Notamacropus eugenii: one gene and its partners. The protein of the gene in region 3 purifies or fractionates together with the protein of the main gene of each other region. This does not show direct contact. Links are inferred from orthologs where the notes say so. Each region holds a gene or a part of one and is shown on either strand. Other genes may lie near its edges.

The links.
Region 1: the proteins of CCP110 (region 3) and CCNF purify together in Homo sapiens (affinity purification with western blotting; 7 studies listed by BioGRID and IntAct, with this or other methods). This does not show direct contact. The link is inferred for Notamacropus eugenii from reciprocal best matches to the Homo sapiens genes CCP110 and CCNF.
Region 2: the proteins of CCP110 (region 3) and CEP97 purify together in Homo sapiens (co-immunoprecipitation; 10 studies listed by BioGRID and IntAct, with this or other methods). This does not show direct contact. The link is inferred for Notamacropus eugenii from reciprocal best matches to the Homo sapiens genes CCP110 and CEP97.

What each region holds. Positions count from the first base shown.
Region 1 is NC_092872.1:47,180,809-47,184,555, reverse strand, and holds the start of CCNF (cyclin-F), read left to right. Parts: upstream 1-1,362; 5' UTR 1,363-1,525; coding exon 1,526-1,544; intron 1,545-3,747. UniProt on the Homo sapiens protein: Substrate recognition component of a SCF (SKP1-CUL1-F-box protein) E3 ubiquitin-protein ligase complex which mediates the ubiquitination and subsequent proteasomal degradation of target proteins.
Region 2 is NC_092876.1:368,365,380-368,369,126, reverse strand, and holds the start of CEP97 (centrosomal protein of 97 kDa), read left to right. Parts: upstream 1-1,330; 5' UTR 1,331-1,388; coding exon 1,389-1,434; intron 1,435-1,444; exon of another isoform or gene 1,445-1,670; intron 1,671-1,733; exon of another isoform or gene 1,734-1,968; intron 1,969-3,747. UniProt on the Homo sapiens protein: Acts as a key negative regulator of ciliogenesis in collaboration with CCP110 by capping the mother centriole thereby preventing cilia formation. Required for recruitment of CCP110 to the centrosome.
Region 3 is NC_092874.1:399,742,921-399,746,667, reverse strand, and holds the start of CCP110 (centriolar coiled-coil protein of 110 kDa), read left to right. Parts: upstream 1-1,172; 5' UTR 1,173-1,231; intron 1,232-1,495; exon of another isoform or gene 1,496-1,738; intron 1,739-3,747. Other genes in the region: GDE1 (glycerophosphodiester phosphodiesterase 1), read right to left, coding at 1-177.

The DNA of each region.
Region 1 (3,747 bases), on a different chromosome or scaffold from region 3:
TATCCAACATGCCCATGTTTGTGTTTTGCAATAGACTCCATTTGAACCAAAGTCTGTTTTGATGGTGCAGCTTTTAGCAATTGTTTCTTTCCAAGTGAAGGCTTAGATACCATTTCCCAACATAACATGGAAGCTGGAAAACATTTTGGGAGCCTTCAGTTCCAAACTGACTAGAGATTTCTATTTACTGACAGTAAAGCGACACTTTGCATGTCCCTCAGAAGACTGATTTATAATACTCCCTGCTAGCCCCTCTGTTATTTCCATACCATCTGTCTGCTGATACCATAGTCTAGAAGGCAAGTCAATCATTAACAGACATGACATAGATGATAAAATAAAATTATGGTCCAAATAGAATGCTAAAAGTCATCTGATCTGACCTGGCATCAAGGATGACCAAGGTGGCCTAAGAGTGTGGCAGGAGAGGTGGTGAGAGGGGTCCCCCACCTGTCCCAGCCAGGTGTGGGGGCTCAAGCCTTGCTGGGCTCTGGGTCTTCTCAACAAGGGGCTAAGGGGCCATTCCTTTCCCCTCAAGGTTGTGCTCTTGAGAAAGAGAAGACATATTAAGATCTGAGATGACTTCAGTTCAAGCTGATGAGGAAGAGACCAAGTCAAGGAAAAGCCAGGACCCTGATGCCAAGGGAGGATGGGGGAGCCCAACAAAATCCAACACCCAAGTCAAGGAAGGGAGGACTGAGAAAAACGCCCCTGAGTCTGCCAGAGGAGGTCAAGGGCCACCCCCGGGGGCGGTTTCGGTGGAGCGGCCGAAGCCAGGATACCAGGGGTGGGCAGAGACGAAGCAGTCGGGGCGGCTAACGTAGACCCCTCCTTTTGGAGCCGGAGGAAAGAAGATGGGCGGACTTTTCGGGATTCGGGGGAGGCCAGCCCAGGTCTGGAATAGGAGGAAGGAGCCAGGGTCAAAGACTGCAGAGCCTGCTTCGGCCGTCAGTCTGTCCCTTTACGACGAGGACCCTGCGGCCACCTCGGGTGCGGGTGCCAAGGTCCTCTCGTCACGGCCGAGGCGTCTCTGAAGCCCGAGCGCTCCGCCCGGAAAGGCCGCAGGACTTCGCCGAGCGGCCGAGAGACTCCGGCCGGGTCCGCTCGGCCCCGCCCACTGCCGCATCGCCCCGCCCCGCCCCGCCCCCGCGCCAACGCTCCGCCCCGCCCCCGCCCCGAGCCCAGGGCTGCCGCGGTGCGCAGAGGCCAGGCTCCCGGCCAGTCAACCGCTCCTATTCGAATTCGCGTCTTCACGCGACCAATCAGAGGGCCCGGCGCCGCGGGGCCGGCCTCGCGAGCCGCTCTCGCCCAGTGCCAGCGCCTACCGCCTGCGCCCCGAGCCAGCCAATGAAGACGCCTGCTGTGTTTGAAAAAAAGGGCGCGAGGCGGGGGGCGGGGCCCGGGGGTTTGAGAGGGCGGCACGCGCGGCTGCCCAGGACCGGACTAGCGGAGGGCGCTCGGAGGCGGCGGCGGCCGCGCAGCAGCAGCAGCGGCAGCGGCGGCAGCAGCAGCAGCAGCGCTCATTATGAGGGTCCGTGGCGGGGGTGAGTGACCTAGCGAACCCTCGAAACTCGAGGCCGGACCGGGGCGCCGCGGACCGGGGGAACCCTCCCCGGCCTCGGGGTCCGGCCCCCGGCCCCGGGCTTCCCCGAGCGGGCTTCGCCTACCACCCCTTGCTCCGTGTGGACGCCGTGTGTCCTCCTTATCGAAGCCCTCGAGTAACGGGCACCGGGACTCCCCCTGATTGCAGGGCCCCCGTGCACCCCGTGCACCCCGCACCCCCACAGCCTCCGCCGGCTCCAGCCCGGCCTGCCCCTCATTTTACACGCGCGGAGAAGCCAAGTGCCCCGCTGGCATCCCCGAGGTCGGGGGGCGAGATCGGGACGTGAGCTCGGTTCTCCTCCGCACTCCCGGCACCGCGTTCTCCATCCCAGCCCCGGACCGGGCATCGAGCGCCTCGGCTCTTTAAAGGGCTGCCACCTCGGCCCGGGTGCCCACCTGTTACTGCGGGCGGCTCTTCGGACGCCGTTTCCGAGAGGCCTTTTAAATGAACAGAATGGGTGACGAGGGCCCGGCAGCCTCGTCCTTCCAAGCCCTAATTAAAAATGAAAAGCAAGGTTTCACAGGGTGGATCTTCGAGGCGGGACAGACTGACCTACGAAGCGGTCTGTCCCCAAGAAACCCTGCTGCCTCTGCTTCCAAGTTGTATTGAATTACCTGACGATTGAGGGGGATGTTTGTAAGAAGTGAGGAGTTCACAGGATCGTCAGTTTAGAACCGAAAAGGATCTCCTGGGCTCGTTTTGTCCAACTCCCTCCTTACCTTTGAGAAAACGGGGTGAGGCATTCGCTCAGGTCGAACAGTTATACTGTGGTAAGGCTAGCAGCTTGCTGGTGGGATTAGGAGCAAACTTATATCTGAGGCACAGGAGAAAGAAAAAAGAGAGGAAGAAAGGGAAAATAAAAGGAGTAGGCAGAAGAACTGGGGAGAAGGGGAAGAGACTGAGGAAAGAGTGGTGCCTGAGAGTGTCCAGAGGGCCAGTGGTTTTGAACACTCAAACTTTATTTTTATGTAAATCTCATTGATATGGGAAACTCCTTCTACCCATGCATATTGGTACTACCTCTTCAATTTATAGATTTAAGAGAGTTTCTTAGAACACTGGAGAGGAATACTTGCCCAGGTGTGATCAGACATCCAAAATACAGGATTTAAAACCAAGTCTTCTTAAACCCTCCGGTTGTAACCCTAAACTGGCCTTGAGGTTCGTCCTCTATCCACTGCTCCACACTGCCTCTAGCTAACATATCTTAACCTTTTCTTCAGTTAGTCAATAAGCACTTATTAAGCACCTACTAGGTGCCAGGTACTAAACACTAGAGATAGAAACTCAAAAGACAGTCTGCTATCAAGGAATTCATAGTCTAAAGTGTGAGACTAGCAACAAATACTGTACGTAAAAAAACGATCCTAATACAGGATAAGTAGGAAGTAATTAGCAGAGGGAAGACACTAGAATTAAGAGGTATTGGGAAAGCCTTCCTGTAGAAGAAGGTGAGGTTTTCTCGGACTTGAAGGAAGCCAGGATTCAGAGATAAGCAAGGAGAACATTCCAGGTGTGGGAGAGAGCCAGAGAAAATGCTTGAAGCTATCTTGTTTGTGGAGGGGGGTAGCAGCCGAAAGCTAAGTTATAAAGGGCTTTGAATACCAAATAGGATTTTGTATTTGATCTTGGAGGTGTGATAGGGAGCTGCTGGAGTCTTTTGATAATGAGAGAGTCATGATCAGACTATTGATTTAGAAAATCACTTTGGCAGCTGAGTGAAGGCTGGACTGGAATGAGGAGAGACTTGGTACAGGCAGACCCCCTTCACCCCCACCCCAGCAGCTTATTGCCGTAGTCCAGGCACAAGATAAAGAAGGGTGGTAGCAGTATCAGAGGAGAGAAAGGGGCATATTCTAGAGAGGTTACAGAAGTGAAATTGACATGCCTTGGCAACAGATTGGATATGGGGGGGTAGGGAGAATGAGAGTGAGGGGAACTAAGGATGGCATCTAGGTTTTGAGAGTGGGAAAATGATGGTACCCTCAATAGTAATGGGAAAGTTTGGGAGTAGAGAGAATTTAGTGGGGCAAGATAATGAATTCAGTTTCAGACATGTTGAGTTTAAGATATCTACTGGACGTCCAGTTTGAGACATCTGAAAGGCAGTTGGAGATTTAAGGTCAGAAGTCATCTAAGAGGTA
Region 2 (3,747 bases), on a different chromosome or scaffold from region 3:
TTATCAATATCAAGTCCTGGACAAGGAGACATATTCGTGGAAAAGGTTTGCCTGCTGTGTTGGATGTTATTCTGCTCAAAGTTCAAACAGAAGAACAATTTCCTGTGGGTGGTGAAGTTTTCCTGCTGGATGTGGATGGCTTTGAATCATGGATTCATCGGCAAATGATCTATAGTCACTGATAACACAAGCCTCAGGTTTATTTGTGTCCCCTGGGTTCTCTTATTCTTGTGTGGTAATTAAAAGGGACTCAGATATACTGACCTCATTTAGTTCTTTTTTTTAATTGTCCCTCAAATGAATATGACTTCAGGGGAGGAAGCAAGGACTTAGAATATGCAAAAAAGTCTTTAAGGGCTCTGGACAAAGGTTAGGTACAAGAGCTTCTGCCCTTGGCCAAATCATACTCACTTTCCTTATGTTCCTTGAAGTCTTTTCCCTTCCCATACTTCAAACTTGTGGGTTCTTTAAAGCTCCTGTTCACTACCTCACTTCCACTCTTACCCTTCCTTTGGGACAGCTAGGTGGTGCAGTGGTTAGAGCACTAGGGCAGGCGTCAGGAGGACCTGAGTTCAAATCTCACCTCAGGCAAGACACTCACTAGCTGTGTGACCTTGGGCAAGTCACTTAACCCCAATTGCCTCATCCTGGGTCATCTCCAGTCATCCTGATGAATATCTGGTCACTGGATTCAGATGGCTCTGGAGGAGAAGTGAGGCTGGTGACCTGCACAGCCCTCCCTCGCTCAAAACAAAGTCAAGTGCAAGTCATGTCATTATTTCCCTGATGGCATGGTCTTCTTCGGCAACGAAGGAGGAACACACCCTTCCTTAGGACCAACTAACTCATATTCTCTCTCCTTTTTATTCTATATGATTAATCACTGTACTAACTTCACACGCCTACCGCCACTATTCAGTTACCACCTTCAAGAAGATATCTCCTAAGTATGTCTAGAGAATTACAGACAACCATTAAACGTGGTGCGATCTTCCTGTAGGATGATATTTAGTCGTTTTGCTCCCTTTCTGGGATAACACATTATAATGAGTGAACAGGCTTTCAATATGGGTTAAGAAGCAGGGGATGGAGGGAGGAGGTAGCAGGTATAGGAAACAATTTGCCAATTATTTAAACTACTGTTTCTAAGTTATTTCCAGCTGTATAATTGGACTCCAATATTACTTTAATTTATTAAACCCTCTCTACCAACCAGAAGGCAATGGGTTCTCCCTTCCCACTGGCCCTGGGGAGGAGGTTGTGAGTGGGGGGTGTTGAGGCATGGGCGCTGTGCATCTTGGGAATAGTAGTTTTGCGCTAGCCCAACTAGACTACATACCCCACAGAGCTTCGGGAAGTCAGTTGCCTGGTGTTAGCAAGCGGGAAGTATGGCAATGGCGGCGCGGAGCGACGCGGCTTTATTACCACGAGAAGGTAAAAGTACCTTGTTCGTTTAGTTTAGAAATCCTTTCGCTAAGCCCGTTTACAGTAATCGCCTCTCCACAGAAGTTGGAGTCCCCATTTTATTGCTGCGTTTCAGTTCATATCTTCTCTAGCTGCAGTTAAGCTTGGCGTCTGGGGCGGCGGGGAGTGCTGCCCTCTGGGAGTTGTAGTCTTCCCGCGCTCTGTAGCTCCTTCGGTGACAGGGCGAGGGCCAGAGGGGCTGGACTACAGCTCCCAGGGGACTTCGTTCAGCACCCCACCCCCCACCCCCCGCGCTGATCCCGCTGCTTGTTTGGTTTGTTTGGGGTTGGGGAAGAGTCCTCCCTGGTTGGGAACTGGGCCGAACTGGGAAGAATGAAGAGCTAAATTTGGCAAGAGCATACTCCCCACACCCTCACTCCCCTTCACTCTGCCCCTAGTCTCTCGTTCATCATCTTCCCGTAGGAGGGGACTGATGACTTTGATGAAGTGGGGGCCGGGCGGTCTCAGGTAGGAGCATCATTCATGGACCCACCTGGTCCTCAGGTGAGAGGCTGAGAGACTGGGCCTTGTCTACATGCGGATGGGATGGGTCCTTCCTTATCAGAGCATTCCTCCTCCGCCTTTGCCCAGGCAGGTTGTCACCTTTGTTTTGGCTGGGACTGCAGAGGTTGAGACTGTGTACCCGGTTCCCCCTGCTTGGAGAGGGAACCAGCATCAAAGGTTTTCCATAAAACATTTTTTGAGCCAGTGAACTCCAGATCCAGCGCTCATTCCACAGCATCATGGAAGCCCTTGTGATGAGAGAATACCCATACAGGTTCCCCCCTTTCTGTCCCCCCCACCCTCCCATTGTGAGGTTTATAGCCTATTCTGACACTAGGATCTGGGAGGAAATGAAAAAAAAAACTGGAAGGGGGGAGCACTAGGGGGAACGCCTGGCAGTTTGAGCCTCAAAAGTGGTTTTTGTTGGGTTTTTTTTAGGGAAGGCAGGAGAAGGAGAAGAAAGAGGTCTTCAAAGAGAAATTGTGCTTATCATACCCACTGGCCACCAGATCCTAGTGTCAGAATAGGCTATAAACCTCACGTGTTTTCTTTGGCTCTGGCATAAGGAGTCTTTTCATAACTGTCTAATTTATTTGTGATTTTGACAAGCATACTGTGTTTGTTTACCAGCACCCTTGTGGAGAGAGGAAATCTTCATTTTCTCTCCTCCCACTCCCCAACATAAATGCAGCCTTTAGGGGACTTGCCTCCTTGAGAATATGTTTGTAGCACAATTTGAAATACATGCTGTGACAGATTTAAAGCTAGAACTCTAGAACGCCTCAGTTTGTGAAAATTTGAAACTAGTTTTAACCTTTTCCAACTTAAGTCAATTTCTTATGCCTAGAAAAACAGCTGTGCAAAATATAGGGAAAAATCCTAGTTGAGGCCATTTCATTCCATCACTTCATCCATATCCCTAGAGTTGGCAGAAAATAATATGTTCACATACTTTCAACTCCCACTGCCCTTACTTTATATACTCCAAGAGGAGCTTCTTCCTTTAAACTTGAATATTGTCAAGAGGTTGGAAAGTGGAAGAATGTTACATAGAAGAGGAAGGGGAGAAAGGGAGAACTTTGTACTTGGAGTTAAAATAAGCAACAAACTTAAGGCTCTTTTTGAAGGAGAGAAAGATATGCCCTGAGTGAAAAGTGCCTCTTTTGTCCTCCAGAGCAGGCTAAAATAGAGCCACAGGAGTGATCAGGTGAGAAATCATCTAGTAAAAAGTCAGAGGAAGGAGAGAAAAATAGTGGTGATAAGTAATCTGGAGTTCTCAATTAGCTATTTGTTGACCTGATCATAACAGTGGAGAGGTCTGTTGTCTTTCTGAGACAAGTATCCAAGGCATAGCAGAAAACCTTCCAAATCTTGTCGAAAAGAATGACCGCTATGCACTTATTGTTATTCTGTGGTAGTTGTGCTATTTGGCTACAAATAACTATGAGAAGGAACCTAGAAAATATTAAATATTACAAAACCATGTGCTAAACATGGGCACTTTTCCTCATTATTCCCTATCAAAAGCAATGTATACAGAAAAGAAAAATTGATTTGAAAAGTTAATAGGTTAGTAACAAAGTGGTATCTGAGAATGGTTGGACTTTTGGATCATGGCTTAAAATAAAGGGATGGCTGACTACTGGCCAGGGATAGAATCTTCCTAACAAAGGCTGGTAACAATTTATCAGGTATTTTGCAAATCTAATCCAAAGGGCTTTAAATTAAAAGCGAGTGGGGAAGTAGTATGTCCGTATTGAAGAAAAGATACAGTGAAGG
Region 3 (3,747 bases):
GAGCACCTGCAGGGCCCGGCGGTGGGGCACCGGCTCGAAGCTGAAGAAGCGCAGCAGGAGGTAGAAGCTGAAGGTGAAGAGGCAGGTGTTGAAGGGGCTGCGGGTCAGGATCAGCTGCAGCACGAACAGGAAGGAGAAGGAGGCCAGCAGGCCCCCCTGCTCCTCCCACAGCCACATGTCGGGGTCGGGGCCGGCGCCGCCGCGGGCGCCGGCACCCGCAGCCTCCGGGACCCGCCGGGCTCCTCGAGGCGGGGCGCGGGACCGCGACACGATCGGGCCAGTCACCCGCAGAGGGCACCGGCGCGCACAATGGCCGGCCCCGGCACATCCGGAAAGGTAGGCTCCGCGCCGACCAATCAGCACCGCGGAGCTCGGGGCTTTCAAGGCGGGGCGCTGCTATAGCAACGGGACCTAGCGGGCAGGCTGGAGCGTCTGAGGAACTTCGATCGGACTGCGCGGAGGACGGCTCTTCAACCTTGGCTACCACCCCGCGTTCTGGCGGAGGGCCGCTAGGGGGCGCAGAGGCCAAGGCGCTGGCCCCGGCCTGCCTCAGTTTCCTCATCTGCAAAAAAGGGAAGATAATAAAAGCACCTACCTCCCAGACTTGTTGGGAAGATGAAATGAAATTATATTTGTGAACCATTTTGCAAACATCATGTGAATGATCTGATTCAAGAAGCGGACGCTGGGCAATCACACACACTGTGAAGCACTGACACTTCACAGGGGAATGAAGCAAGTGGAACAGCTTTGGAAGCCGGGCATCGCCCAAGAACTCAGGGCTGCTTGGCCTTCTTCCTGGGCTTACTGTTTCATTTTTTAAAAAAATGCTCTTCCGTCCTGCAAGTCTAAGGATGTTCTAAGGCTGGAGACGTCATCTGTAAACCAGTTTGTTGAATATAAAGTTATTTCCTTAAGAGAGATCAGCTGAGAGAACTTGTCTTAAAATACCATTTGTTACATCAGTTCATTTGTTCATCGGTTCTGATTCTGGCTCTTCCACTCATTTGTATGGTGTATAACCTTGATCACATTGAATTCTCTGAAGCTGCTTCCTCATTATTAGTAAAGTAACTGCGTTCTGCTGGTCACTTATGTGACCTTGGGTAAATCACTTAGACCCTTGGCGCCTCTCTGGGAAGTGGGGAATGTTTCATATACCTGGGCGCCTTGGACCAGCATTCGTGGCCACGTCGATGTTTTTAAAGGCGATATTTTCAAAGACAGCACTGTAAGGTCCCTTCCACTTTGACTGCTACAACAGATGACTTAGTTAAAAACAAATCTTTCCCTCTTCTCCCCACCTCCTATTTGGAGGGGGAGGGAGGAGGGAAGCCTGCCTCTTGTGGGAACCACATATCCCAAGATGCAACGTACTCATCCAATCCTGGAGGCCGGACAGGCGGCACGCGTAGCCTTTCGGGAGTTGTAGTTTCTAGTTGGGTAGCCCCAGAACGGAGGCAGTCCCTTTACTCCGGCCCTCCAGCACCGGAAGTGCCTTGCCTGGGAGGCGGAGTGAGGGAGGCGGCGGCGGCGGCGGGCAGCGGCAGCAGCGGTTGCCTGGTGCCGGCGTTGCCGCCTTGAGACCCGTAATATGGCGGGGAGGAGGAGGAGGAGACGGCGGCGGAGCGGGCTGCGCCCTGCAATTAGAGCCTGATCCCTTTGTCTCTCCTTGAGGTCGTGGAGGAAGAAAGAGAGAGAACCCGAAGGGGCCCTGGGGGTTGCGGAAGGGAAGTAGGTGGGTGCCTGGGGTGGGGGGCAGGGCGCTGGGGGCTTCCCACCGCGGCTGGGGGCGGGGACGAGGCGGCGCCTGGGGTCGCCGGGGCTTCCTTCCCTGCCCCTGGCAGTCCTGGCGAACCCCGGTCTGCCTTACCTGGCAGGGTGGGCGAGGGAGAGGCTGGGGTGCATTTGTGGTAGGTCGTGGGAGGAGGAGGAGGAGGAGGAGGAGGATGATGATGATGATCATGATGATGATGATGATGATGATGATGATGATGCGGATGATGCGGGATTGATGGAACTGTGAGCATCACCAGACTGAGCTTCATGCTCCTTCATACTCCTAGGTGGGGTAAGGTGGGGTAAGGGGAAGATTCTAATGCCAGTCGGAAACCTCGGGCGGGGGAACCTGTACACACCTGATTAAAAAAGCAGGAACAATAGAAGTCAATACCCAATTATTTTCCGTGCTTGGGAGGGGTTGATGCCTTACCCTCCCTTTGCATTTTTGAAGAGTAATTCTCTAGCTGAGCAGGCATAGGACCCACTATTTATCTGTTAACTCTTTGCTGCAAGCTACATCTCTCCTATTCAGCTAGTGTTTGTTGAGGCCCTCGTGTTGTGAAACTCTTTAGGTTAGACCTTACTTAGGCCTTTAAAGAAAAAATGGGGGGAAAAAGTGGCCCCGCCCGCAGGATGTTTAATTTATTTGGGGTACAGCGATAAGTAAAAAAATGTGTAAATGTATGATATAATTTGAGAAGGGAGAGCTCTGTGTATGGCATATGAGTAGATCAGTCTAGAAAGTCCTGGAGCTGAAAGGGAATAATGCATTGGATTTTCTTAGGCTGGTGTGAGGTGGTGATGTGGGGAGGTTTCTCTCGTTCAGAGCTGGTCAGGAAATAGCTAATAGGCTAGTTTGACTGAAAGTAAGAATCCTGAAAGTGACTGGGATAGAAATGAGTCTAAAAAGGTACACTGGAACCAGATTGTGAAGAGTTTCAAAAATGCCAGGCTGAGAAGTTTATATTTGATTCTGGAGGCAATAAGGAGCTAGCTGAAGATTTTTGAGAAGGCTGATGTAATCAGACTTATCTAAAACATAATTTTTAATTTTGCTGCTTTGTGGAAGATGAATTGGAAGGGGGAGAGACTGGAATCATGGAAACCAGTTAGGCTGTTGCAGTTCAGGTCATTGGTGATGAGAGCTGATTCATTTGAGTGGAAGGGGACAGGTATGAAGGGCTGTTGTGGAGTTAGTAGAATTGACAAGATTTGACAACTGATTGGATATGGGGTACAAAAAAGAATAAAAATGAGCTCTCTGAAGTTGTAAACCAAATGAATAGAGAGTAATGTCTGTTGGTCTTTATTGCTAGGTTACCACAATAGTTCTCATCTTGCACAGTTGTATCTTACCTTTTCTGAACTTTCTGGTAGAAAGGGAATATTAGATTTCTGGAGTGCTGAATTAATAACGAGTAGGGTCCTAAACTTATGAGATTACCAAAGGATTTCTAAGAAAGGGCTGACCACCCAATTATGTCCAACTTGGGAGCAGCTAAAAAAAGGGAATAATACGTGGTACTGTAGTTACGGTTGGGGTGGCTTTGTGACCTGGGATGGCTTGGTGACCAGAGGCACTCTTTAAGTTTAAAACTTATTAACAGTGGATTGTGATATGAGTAATTCAGCATCCACCTATCTAATCATATGTAACATAGATTACTCACTTTTTAAATGGTTGACATTGTAATTTAGAGGTACTAATTTGCCCATGAGAGGAGGATTGCCAATGAAACTAATCTCGAAATTCTTCTGTTCTTGGATGAATGTTTGATTTACTTTTTTTGAAGGGCTTGGAAATAGGAATAGTTGATAGATGCTTTCTTCAGATCAAGTTGATTAGTTTCTACTCATAGATACAAGATTTCCATTTCTAAATCTCCTTTGCATTTTGCAAGAGACTCTCTGCAAATAGAACTTAAAACTGTGTTTGATACGTACTATTGGTAAAATATTCTAAGG